Drosophila melanogaster: one gene and its partner. The gene in region 1 interacts genetically with each later gene. Each region holds a gene or a part of one and is shown in the gene's direction. Other genes may lie near its edges.

The links. Genes that interact genetically often act in the same process or in processes that back each other up.
Region 2: of daw (region 1) and tok, changing one enhances a phenotype caused by changing the other (phenotypic enhancement), as found in Drosophila melanogaster (one study listed by BioGRID).

Annotation. Positions count from the first base shown.
Region 1 is NT_033779.5:2,803,410-2,811,513, forward strand, and holds the start of daw (dawdle), read left to right. Parts: upstream 1-1,851; 5' UTR 1,852-2,192; intron 2,193-4,912; exon of another isoform or gene 4,913-5,127; intron 5,128-5,570; 5' UTR 5,571-5,901; coding exon 5,902-6,844; intron 6,845-6,958; coding exon 6,959-7,234; intron 7,235-7,739; coding exon 7,740-8,104.
Region 2 is NT_033777.3:24,717,994-24,722,803, forward strand, and holds the start of tok (tolkin), read left to right. Parts: upstream 1-1,703; 5' UTR 1,704-1,746; intron 1,747-2,063; exon of another isoform or gene 2,064-2,227; intron 2,228-4,810. Other genes in the region: CG13630 (uncharacterized protein), read right to left, coding at 37-269, 328-1,065, 1,135-1,288.

The DNA of each region.
Region 1 (8,104 bases):
TAATTAAATCGAAAGTCGTGGGTGTTATCAATGGTTATCAAAATGAATATATAAAAAACAGTGTATATTTGTGTTTTGTCTGGCTACTTTCCGGTTGTCAACAAGAAATCCTCTGTAATCAGAAGACTTTGTTCTGCTGGCCCTCTTCTTAACCTATTAAACCAGGAATAGTAGAAATAGATTCAAATCGTTTCAATAACTCTATTTTTTGAGTTCACATTCTTAGACTTTACTTTCCTGATCTGTAATTTGAATCAAATGCTCACTAGACAGTCATAGAATTTTCCTGATCAAATGCAAGGCCAAAGTCTAGACGAATAAGGCCATTTATAATCAAATGAAGCGATGAATAGTTCAGAAAATATTAGAATGAATCTTTAGATGTTTAAGGTAACTTTAAGCTTGCAGTTCAAACGTGTAACTAAAGTCATAGTACCCCTATCAAGGGTATAAGCATCATATATTGTTGACTTAATTATGACACCAAAACACTGTTTTAATTAAAAACTGAAATTCCAGAGGCCCGGCCACGATAAGCCGTGCATTGTGACGTGTTTTTCAGCACGCGCGCCACATTTAAAAATTAGACGTTTCGAGTGAGATTTTGCCTCGATCCTGAGTATACAAATCACGAAAGGTATATTGTGCGATTCCATCGCATTATATTTGAGGTGAATGCTTTATTGTGAAATCTCAAGGTAAACAAAACTCGGAACGGACTTAATCAGTCGATTGGCATGAGGTTTGAAAGTGAAACACAGCGATACGCAATCAGAGCCAGCATTTAATTAATATTAGCCATTTACATACTATTGTCCTCCGAGGTAATCTCAAGAGACCCATGCTCGACGGGCGTGAAAACTTCAAAATTATGATATCACACATGGTAATCAATTGAAGCAGCCAGCAAGTTAAAAACAAGAAACCCCAAACGTCGTAAAAGCCACATCGTAAATTGGTCAAGAGGAAAGCGATTAGCTGGCCAAGAGCTAAACAAAAACAGGAAGGCATACGTAGGGTGGAGTCTGAAATTGAGTATACTTAGTTCATTCGTTATATTACATCTAATTGTTCAGTCTTTTACACGACATTGTTTGCATATTCTTCGATGATACATATGTACTTTCTTCTAGCATTCATGGTTATACGTCAATTTTAGTCATACCTCTCGCTAGTACCGCTTATTAATAGACATTGGGCCATCAAAAGAAAGCGATGGTATCGCTTTGGCTGTGAGAACCAATCGCCATTAGGCAATGTCGGCTATCAGGGAAAGTCAAAGGCAATCCGCTGGACTGGACTGCCGCTGAACTTTGGACCGGTTGGATCGAGCGATAAAACCCCACCGGCACGACGTCAGCTCACGTTTTTGGGTGACGAATGCTGGGGCTCGATCCTCATTCCCAACAAGCTCGAACTCACGAACGGCCATCGAACATGTAGCGCCGGCCAGCGAACTTGTTCGATGCTCCAGCCTCGAGCGGCGTGGGTGTTCGATGCAGGAGGCGATCGGATGGGAGCCAACCGGACCTAAAACGCTGCTGTGTGGGCCAGGGGGGAAAGCCACCCATTATCAGTGGCTCTCCCTGCTCTCCCTCTCTCTCTCTCTGTCGCACTTGCTGGAAGCAAAGTAGAATTGCGCATCGCTTAAAACGCAGAGCAGCGGAGTGCGCCAATGATCGGCGGCGTGTCTGTTATCAAACAAACTGAAACTCAACTGTCTGCCGCCCGAAGAGTGGGCCATACCCATACCCATACCCATACCCAGGCCCATACTCACACCCATACCGCTCCCCACAGATACCGTTAGTCGTACCGCTCCAGGCTTTTGTGGCCGCTGCGCCGCCCATCGTCGAATTATTCACACGCAGACGTTCCCAACGATCGGATCGAAAATTATTCAAATCGTGCAAATCGTACATGAAACTTGGTGTGAACGAATAATACTTTATGTTTCTTCAAAACATTTGTTTTTGCTCAGCGAAATATCAGCTCGTCATTTTGAGGAAATCAAGTTCAAGTGGTGAAATTCAAAACAATAATGAGTTTGCGAAAGTGATTTGCGAAAACAAATAAACGGACAATCGATTGTAGAATCACTCAAGGACATTTGATAAGCATCCCTTTTCGCAGAAGATTGCAAACAATGTGCTAAGTTATTCAAGCATTTTGACAATGGATTATTAATTTGGGTGAGTTACATAACACAAGGGCTTATTGTGTAAGAAGTTTAAATAAAAGTGCCAAAAATGTGAATTATGGAATCAGCCTCAACATGGGATACTAGAAATTGTATATTTTTTTTAGCAGTCTAATGCTCAATATCAGTTATTACCAAATCGCAGGGAAGTTTCTAGTTTCGCTTTTGGAATATCATGCCGTAATTAAAAACTAATCATGCAGTGAATGGTTTATCGATCAGAGGCCTATCTATCACCGATTGATTGATTGATAGTTTTCGAGCCTATAACCCAGGCGCATAACCTCCAAAAGCTCTTGGCGAATTTCGGCCACGTCGAGAGTCATTGGCCAAATTTAGTTGCTACCAATGATGATCTTATTTAATCCTGCACTTGATTTATGGTAGCATCGCCGATGAGCGTGTGGCGAGAAAAGTATTATGGCAGATTAATTTGCGACGCTTCGGGCCTCTGGCTTCTGGCAATCGGGGCAATCTCCGTGAGCGGTTCCAAAGTCCAGATCGTGGCATGCTCCCAACCGCTGATCGGCGAGAACGGCGTGATCGCCGTGATTTATTGCCAAAAACCGATGGAAGCAGCCGTGTTTTTGTCGCAGTGCATTCAACTGCTGCGCGCGAAGAAGAAATGCAAGTGATAATTGCCGGCAATTACGATAGCCCCACTCCAAGTCCGAGTCCCAGCCCCACATCCAGTCCCAGCTGCCCCGTAATTAATGCGAAAATGATACGGGCAGGCCCATGGAAAACCCCCAAGCAGAGTCGCTTAGTCAAGAAGCCATCTCCATCAAGCGGCTGTACTTTGCACCTCCAATCGACGCATCGCCAGACCCCCAACTCCCCATTCACAGGCACAGCAGTTTTTTGCTCCGATTTGCATCGACATGGCAACCGCGGAGTCTTCACTACAGCTTTTGCTTCTGATCACGCGCTGGTGGCGTGCTCGATGACGTAGCCATGACTGCCGGGCGTTAAATGACCTTCTTCAACTTCTGTCCCCCTTCCCAGCGGCACCCCTTTTCCGCGGGCCCCCATCACATCGCAGTCGCACGCCTCGGCTTCGATTCCTGCCTTTGATAAGTCGGTCAGTCAAGTCAGTCATTAAGTCCAGTGCAGTGCGGACAGCTCGAGTTACGTCAAAAACGAAGAGTACGTACAAAACGTGTCACATGTCGCGTGTGTGCTACAATCCAAGCCCTGCTTCCTGATCCGATCCCCATCCATTCTATCAGATCCCATCCCATCCGATCTGATCCGTCATTATGTGGCCCCCAGTCGCTTTAATCGACGTCAGGTTGGTTGTGTTGGAAAAAACAAAATGGAGCAGATTTTGGAACGTGGCAATCTACGTAGGTTGTGGAAAAATATGCGATGAGTTGATAAGTGGTGCGACATATGCTGAAGGCCAGGACGTCATTTAAATTGGAAAAGGGCCACTGGAAAAGTGTAATACCTTATGTAACTTATGGGAACACGTAAAACTAAACTTAATTGTGCAAGTCAAAGGTGTCATAATCTAATATGAAATTGGGGAGTATGCAATACTTATAGTTGTTTATTGTATTATTTCCTAACAAGAACCCCTATTAATTTGCTTTTGCTTAAGCCGCACCAACAATGTTGCCAGAATTCGCTGAGGCCTACAAAATTTCTATCAATTAAACGGACCTTCTCCTCCGTATAGTATAGATCATTTCTATTCGTCTCGATGATCTAATTGGGTTCAGAAAAATCACAGTTCGTGACAAGCGAATCGGGCACGTGTTCAGCATTTAAGGCTAAATCGAATAGGCGGTATAATATAACTCGTGATCTGCCGGCCTTCAAAATACTTTTCTTGACCTTACTCGACTGCTTCACATTTAGCCGAGACCAGAAATTCTGGCTGATGAAATTCCCAACCGAAATACTCATGAATTTCCCATTCGCATTTAAATTGGAAAACAGACACACTATGTATTTGAAATGCGCATCTATTAACCGAATCCGATTAGGATTGCCCAGAATCGCATGCTAAGCGTACTTAATTGGTTAAATGCCGCACTACATATTCCATGCTCCCGATTTGTGGACCAAAAGTGGGAAACCGCCCCTTATCAGCAACGTGTTCACTATTAATTGATTGACACACAATCGAGTCGGATCATCAAAGTCAAGCTTGATAACGCTGCGGGGTAATTAGCATGAATGGGCCACTCGACTCGATTCGATTCGATTCGATTCGGTTTGAAGCGATCATAAATTCACTTGATATCAAAATGCCCCATTGTGGCCAAGCGAGTGCCAAAAATGCCAACAGATAGTGACGCCGCCAACTGGGGGCGTGGCATTGTCAGGGTGGCGGGAGGTTAAAAATAAAATTGCAATTAAGAATTTTATGCAATTCGGTGGCTTGGCGTTTTCAAGAAGCTGATGCAATGCTGCACCCCACTTGCATATCCAATTGTCTTCGGCTAAAGAGAGAGCGCCATGTAGCCATAACCATGGTCTATAGTCATAAATCGAGACCCGAACCGCTCGGCTTGGATCCGAGTCCGCAACCGATACGAAACGATCCGTCAGATACGATGCGATTCGAGTGGTTCGGATTGTTTCGGTTCGGTTCGGTTCGGTTCGGCTGGCGCTCGCGGAACGATCAATCAAACGCTCGGCGATCGTCACATAAATTGTTCTACTAATCAGCCAACCGCTTCATTCATTCACAACTCGTTTGCGCTGCCGCATGTCGGAAGAGAAAGAAGCACCATACTATATCATAGACCATACCACAAGTGGAATACTATATAGACGCGCGATCCCAGCTATAGCTAAAGGCCCGTGCCACTCGTGTTTCGTGTCCGGGTTCAAAGTTAATGCCGCAACCCCCGCCGGATTCATCCGGCTGAGCAGATTCAGATCCCATTGGAGCAAATCGGAGTGTGCTCACCACGGTACGTGTGGGGTCCACGTCCACCTAATTGCCATCTAATTGAGCCCGCTTATCAGCGGATCTGCGCAACTACGCTTTCGATTTGAGTCGCACTTGGGGCAAATAGCCCATGTGATAATGTGAAATTGAATACTGAACTAAACTAAATCTTCCCGGAATTAATGTCAAAAAAACGATTTGCACTTTGCCACCTGCCAATTCGAGCTCAACGATATGGAATAAATGATGCAATTTGGTGCAAAAATTAAGCGAGACTTCGGGCTTAGTGAGTGATAGTGATAAATGCACCTGATCCGCTGGCATATTAAATTGCATTTTAATTGGGGCAGCGCGTTCGCAAATATTTATGAGAAAATTTAGGGCATAGCTGTTTTAATTTATTTGATTAATAATCGGAATGTGCTTACAATATTAACTAAGTTACAAATTTCTTCTTATTTGCAGACGAAACTTAACGAAAAGTTTAAAATATTGAACATGCATCATTCAAGCGTATAAGTCGTTGTTATATAAAATCATAAAAAACGCATAAACGTTTTAAAAGTGCTTAAACAAGGCTATAAAACGGCAACAATAAGTGAAACCAGCTGCAATTCTATGAGTTTTGTAAACCTGAAAGCCGGAAAAATTGATGTTTTAATGCTGCCAAACAGATAGCAATCAGCCCCAGCCGACAAAACAAGAGTGAAACCAAAGGCGATCCAGAAGATCATAAGATACATATAAAATATCTCACAGTTAAAAAAAAAGAGAAGTCATAAGTACATATTCAGAAATGGCCAAGTACTTTATAGCCCTGGTGTTGCTGGTGTGTCTGGCCCTGGAGAACAGGAACGTATACAATCGCCTGCACGCCCGCTCCCATCCGAGTTCCCGTGGCGACATCCTTCGTCCGCATCCTAAGCACCAGCCGCATCCCCATGTGCAGCACACCTCGCAACAGCTGCAGCAGCAACACCATATCCGGCAGCAACGATCCCGTCAGCTGAAACACCTGGAACCGGATCCGACCAGCGAGGAGGACGATGTACCGATCACCAAGCGGGAGTACTATGCCCGCCTGAGGCGCCACGTCATCCACAAGAGGCAGCACCTCCTGCAGCAGGAGCTCAGCTACAACCATCCCGGCTCCCATTCGGAGCAGCTAAAGGTGCCCCGCCTGTGGCAACACCTCATGGAGCAGGAGGAGAAGGCACACCGACATGTGAGCCCGCCCGTGGAGTTGCCTATCATGTACGGAGATGCCCCCGAGGAGTCATCCCTCTCCTCCGATGATCACTTTGATGATCTGTCGCCGCTGGACTTTGTGCGCAACGAACTGATGGCCGAGGACCAGCAGAATCAGGAGAAGGATCTCGATCTCGATCTGGACCTAGATCAGCAGCCGGAAACGCCCATAGAGCCAGAGCTCCCATTGGGTGAGAGGAACATCACCATTTCGGTGAAGTCCAGCGCCGGAGGATGCCCCAAGTGCGAGAGCAATCGCCAAGTGGAGCACATCACCGAGGAGCAGCTGACCCACTTACGCATCGAGTTCGTTAAGCAGCAGATCCTGGAGAAGCTGCGCCTCAAGGAGAGCCCCAAGGTGTCGGCCGTGGAGCTGCCCAAGCCCATCTTCGACGGGATGACACTCTCCCATCCGGACGATAGCACCAAGAACAAGGAGCTGGACGATTACTACGCTCGCACTAGCAAGAAGTTCATACTGCTCAATAGAGGTAAGCAAATCTAGATTTAAGCACTAGAAAGTAAAGATTGAAGCTTAACTTCAAAGGGAATCCTTTTACCATTCTGATTTTGCTAACACAACCCTTTATCCTTTATTTTTACAGAGGAGGTCGAGTGCAACCGAGCGAGAGATGGAAAATCCAATCCGTCCATGTGCTTCACCTTCAAGATAGACGACGCAGATGCCGAGGGCTTCGACGTGAGCACCGCCGTCCTGTGGCTCTTCAAGAACAAACAGAACCGCACCGACACGGCATCGGTGAACAGCACCAGTGCCCAGCAGACGATCGTAGTCTCCGAGGTGGAGGTGGATCAGCAGAAGGACTCCAAGTATTTGTCGGCGGCCAAGACCATAGCCATCCAGTCGGTGAATGTGCAAGGTGGGTACACATAGTATACATTAGTATAGCATAAACACTCATCCCCCCAGAGCGTAATCATGCCCAGAAAAGAATCGCACACGTTTGGACCTTTGGTCGGCAGCCGCGGAACGGCCAAAACTGACCCTCAATACCCTCGGGGGACAAATCAAAATATGTGACATGTCTATACTAGATGGGTATTATAAAAATTATAAAGAACGCCGATAAGTGCCAACGTTGACAACCGCTTGTTTGTGTTTTCAATTAGACAGATCATTGCGCAGATTCGTGATAGCACTGCTTGATAGCTCGGCTCGAATCTGAAATTCATGTGGGTGAATAACTTGACAAAGCATTATTCGTGGGTGCAAAAACTGAACTTTGGCCACAACCCAGCACAGTTGTGAGTTCCTGGGGTCAGTTACCAGATAAGAAAGATGGGATCTACGATTCTGGGAGAAGAGAAGATGGCTCTGTGGAACCCCCAACTAACCGCTCTGCCTTTCCTTTCGCATACTTTCAGATGAGTGGATGAAGATCGACATTGAGTGGCCCATCAAACACTGGATCAGTGGCCACGAGCTGAGCCACCTCATCCAAATCACCTGCGGTGGCTGCGATGTCAGCGACATGGAGGAGATCATTTCGGTGGACAAGGATTACCGGCCATTCATCGTGATCGACATGCAGAACAGGCGGCGCAAGAGTCGCCAGAAGCGCAGCATCAACTGCTCCAGCGGAATGACCGAGTGCTGTCGGGAGCACCTGTACATATCATTCCGGGACATCGGCTGGAGCAACTGGATCCTGAAGCCGGAGGGCTACAATGCCTACTTCTGTCGCGGATCCTGTAGCTCGGTGGCGAGTGTTACGCAAGCGGCCTCCCAC
Region 2 (4,810 bases), on another chromosome or scaffold:
CCTAGAAGTTATGTATTAGCCCAAGTTGGTCGACCCTCACATCTTGTCCATGAACCACGGCTGTCCGTTGTTCTCGCGACGCTTGGTGAGAATCTCGCATCCGGTTTCGTTGACCAGCAGTGTCTGCTCAAACTGGGCGGAGTACAGGCCATCGGCGGTCACAGCAGTCCAGTCATCTGGCCAGGTTTCAGCCTTCTGGACGCCAACGGAGATCATGGGCTCGATGGTGAAGCAGTGGCCAGGGGCCATTACTCCTACGGCAGAGTTTTCTGCAAAGTAAGGACATTAATAATATTCAAAGTACTTTTAGCCAGCTCGAAAACTTACTGGCATAGTGAGGCACATTGGGAGCTGTGTGGAAAACACGGTGAATGCCATGACCGCAATAGCTGCGCACCACGCTGAATCCATGTGGTGCCACATACTTTTGGATCACGTTGCCAATATCGCGATACTTTTCACCCGGACGCACGAACTCAATGGCCTTGCTGAGCGCCTCGTGGGTGACCTGCACCAGTTTCTTGTGCTTCTCCGAGACATTGCCCACAAAGAAGGTCTCGTTGAGATCACCATGGAAGCCGCGATGATAGACGGTCACATCGATGTTACATAGATCTCCATCCTGTAGAGGACGCTGATCGGGGATGCCGTGGCAAATCACCTCGTTGACCGATGTGCAACAGGACTTGGGGAAGTTGTAGTAGTTGAGGGGCGACGGATAGCACTCCCGTTCGATGGCGGCCTCGTGGACCAAACGATCCAGTTCGTCGGTGGTGATGCCCACCTCCACGGCTTTGGCACCCTCATCCAAGCATTCTCGACCCAATCTGCCGGCCACTCGCATGCCCTCGATCTCCTCGTCGTCCAGCACCTTAATCTTGGTGCCCCGCAGTGCTTCCTCCGAGAGTGAACGTCCTGCTGGATGATCGGCGTAATCTGGACGTTGTATGGCGTTCGGAACTGTTCGCTTGGGAGTCTGTGGGAACGGGCGGAGCTTGCCGGTGAAGCGGAAATGTGGCCATGGATTGTAGGCTCCATCCTGTTCGGCAGAGTTCGAGGCACCGGCTGAGTCAAGAGAATTATATGGTTTCATTGCAATCCAACTCATTAGGAACAAGACTTTCTAAAACTGACCTGCTAAAGCATGAATCGCCTTGTGCTCCTTCCAGAATCCTTTGAAGCACGGCTGCGAGCAGAAAAATGAGCCCTTGATGCCCAACTTTAGGCAGGTGGGACACTGCAGGGTCGCATCCTTGCCGCAGTTGGTTGTCTCGCACTTTTGAGTCATTCTATTTCAACAATTAATGCGAGAAAAATTTCCGTGCCTGCCAAAAATAGTTTAACACAGCGTGACCGCACCGATAACGATAGAAAATACCTGGAAGCTTTAAAATAAATACCTTTTTATACCATTATATGACAATATATAAGCAATATGGCTTTTTGGGAAATTTGCCTTACGCTTCAAGCAAAATCATAATTCTATTGGTTTGATATTAAATACTGTTTTCTGATTAAACATTAAAAAAGTTGATATTAAATAAATACCAAATCAATGTTTAAGAATGGCGCTACATCGATATCCGATGTTTTCCAAGCACCGATAGCCTGGGACCAGTTCTGTTCTTATCGATACGTTTGTGCCAGGGTTGTTCGTCGCCGGCTGTAACGGGCATTAGTTTAAAATTGGAAATAACTTGATAACCATTTTATGTGTATTTAACCATTTAAAATGTTACTATTATGGTAAGTGATTCGTAAATAGTATTCATATGATAATTAACATAAGAAAAGAGTTAATAAGGGCTTTCCTTACAAATGGTTTAAAATCGTTCGAAATTTGAAAGTAAACAAATTAAATATGTAAGTTCTTCGCGGAGATCTTTGATCTGGCTAAGGGACACTGGCCCCGTGAATTCGTGGCCTTTGTTTTCGTCCGTCGGGGCGGCAGTTCAAACGCAGCCGCCTGTTGGGCACTTTTCCGCAGTTGTTCTCGGCGCATGCTCTTGGTGGGAACAGTTTGGACTTGGACTCGGTTTATCTGTCTGCTCTGTTTATGTTCTCAAATCGCGAGCAACTTCGGTCGTGAACGGACGTGCTTTCGCTGTAAACTCGGAATCGGTGTCGCGAAACAAAAGAATATTGGCAACAAACTTGTTTGAGTCAAATGGCCAAACGCAAATATCCGCAAAGGGCAGCAGGATAAATTTATTGGCCAGTGAAGTGAGTGAGTGTCTTGTTTCGAATTGGTTTGGCCAAAAAAAAAAGAGGACCCCTTTAATATTTCTACCTGCAAGGGATGCTGAGATTTCGGCAGAGTTTCGCATCATTTGCGAGCGCAACTTAACTAACTCAACAAGTGAATTCAAGGGTTTTCGCTCCTCCAATTACTGATTTTGTCCTCGTGATCTTCGTACTCGATTGAAATTCGATTACGATCGTTTTGTGTGTGTGCATTGAAATCAGCGTTATCAGTGTCTGCCCTGATCTTTGGTTTTGCGTTGAACATGTTTATTATTATTCATTTCTCTGGTTTCCCGCGCCCAACGACAATAAGTTAAGTAAACACGCTGTTTTTGTTGAGGATGCTGCTGCTGCTGTCTGTTGTCGTTGCTGCTGTATATGTTGCTGCTGCATGTGTTACAGCTGTTTCCATAGTTGCTGTTGCTGCTGTCACATGTGTTGCTACTGTCTCTTGTGCTGCTGCTGTTTCCAAAGCGGCTGCTGATGTCAATGTTGCTGCTGCTATCGCGTATGTTGCTGCAACTTTTTTAGTTACCGCTGTTGCTGCAATCTCATATGTTGCTGCTGTTTCTATGGCTGAAGGTGTTGCTTCTTTGTTGCTGCTGTTGCTGCTGATAGGAGCGCAGCATTCGAATGGCTATAAATAAAAAACGGCACGCGGTGTGTGCAGCAGTGAGAATCCCCCGGCCCGTCTCCGCCGGATTTTCAGCACCACCAGCATCGCTTGATTATTATTGGTGGGTGTTCTGCGTTTTACGCGACCACACACAGGCACACTGCCACACACACACTATTATCTTCGCCGTGCGGTTTCCACTTTTCCGCTTTTCATTCCGTCGTTAAGACGCAGCACATATCTCGTCAATTGGCAATCTAAAGGCCGCCGGCATAATTAAAATAGAATCATTTCTGATTTCGCTTTGTGTCGCACAGACATGTGTGTCTTATTTTGTTTGTTTGTTTTTTCTTTTTTTTTTGCAATACGGAACAATTGCGAAAGTCAAGGTGGCCGCGAAAAGCCGCGAAATAGTAGGGAATTCCTATGCGATGGCAACGAACTCGATCTCTGTGTACCCAACTCATCTTGTCTGGCCTTTTATTGATTTATTTTTTCCCCGGCAGTCAGTCTACTCTTTTTTTATGTTCCCCTTTGTTTTGACCAACGATCCTCGATCTTCGACGGCAATTAAAGGCAGGCCAAAATGGTCCAGGAAGGCAGACATCAGCCTTAATTTGCTTTGGTTGCATTGCCTGCTCGTCTTCGGAACTTTTTCATATGCTGCGCAGTGCGTACTTTGTTTGTTTGTGTGCCAGCCGAATGGAAGCTGATGGAAATTTATGCGTAGAGAAAGGTGGAAGAATATGAAATGGAAAATATGAAATTTTTGAATTGAGTTTGTGGAGGAGTGGGGGGGGGGGGCTGGGGCGGTACACCTAACACTTCCGGTTGCCAGAATATCAACTTCCGGTGGCGTAGAATTGTTAGCGGGGAAATGCTTTGGCACAAAAGACGCATATTGATATTGTTGCCCAGGCTGCTTACGCTCCAATAAGCACACCCACACACACACATAGGCAGACATACAGACGGGAAGGTCCTTCGTCCTTGGGAGCCAGAAAACGCATTTCATTTTTGCTCCAGTGAGTTGGCCCTTGTCTGGCAAACGTTTTGTGGCAACTTGGCCATTAAGCATTTCGTGTTTAAGCAGCAGGATCTTTCCCTCGCCCTTCCCTCTCAGGACGAAGGACCAACAGGACAGTACAGCAAGGAATAAAAATTGCCCGCGTATGCATTTCTTAACAACATTTCTCCACCACCCTCCCCCTTCGCTCCCCAGCGACAACATTTCATTTCATATTTTGTGGCAGCAGCGCTTTGAATAGAATTCATTTGGATTCCCTTTCCCAGGACACCTCGTCCACTTCCTTTTGCCTTTGTCAGCCCCTGGGTTTCCGCATCCCACATCCCAGAACCCAGATCTTCCACATCCCTCATCTTCCTGGAACACGCACTTCAGACTGATAGCGCCTGCTTAACAAATTTCTGCTGTATTTTTCGGTTCTTGTTCTCCACTTTATTATATTCCGTCTTCTTCTTTTTTTGCCATGGCAATGGGGATTTTTCCGCATTTTTAGCTGTCGCAGCAGGGTAAAAATTAAAAGCGAATTAAGTTCGAGGAGCTGTGGAGGCATCTAAAAGGTATCTAAAAGGTGGACAGCCGAAGATAACTGCACTTGACGCCGGATAGACCACAGGCATTATTAAACCCCAAATTTACCTGCCAACCAGGCGGGGTGGCAAATCTGCAAAAGAGATTTGAGTTATTTTATGGATATTACTAAGTATTCTGTATCTGCTACAGCAGCCATGAATTGGGGGGCTTTTTGGAAAGGGTCTTTATTACACATAACAAAAAAATTTATAAAAATATAGGTCTCTATATTCTTCAAATGGCTCAATCATAGTTATTTACTATTAACTTGCGAAAAATACCCAAAAGTTCCTGTCCTTTTATACATCTTGCACGTTATTAGTTTGCTCGCTGAATTTTCTCAGTGTAAGATC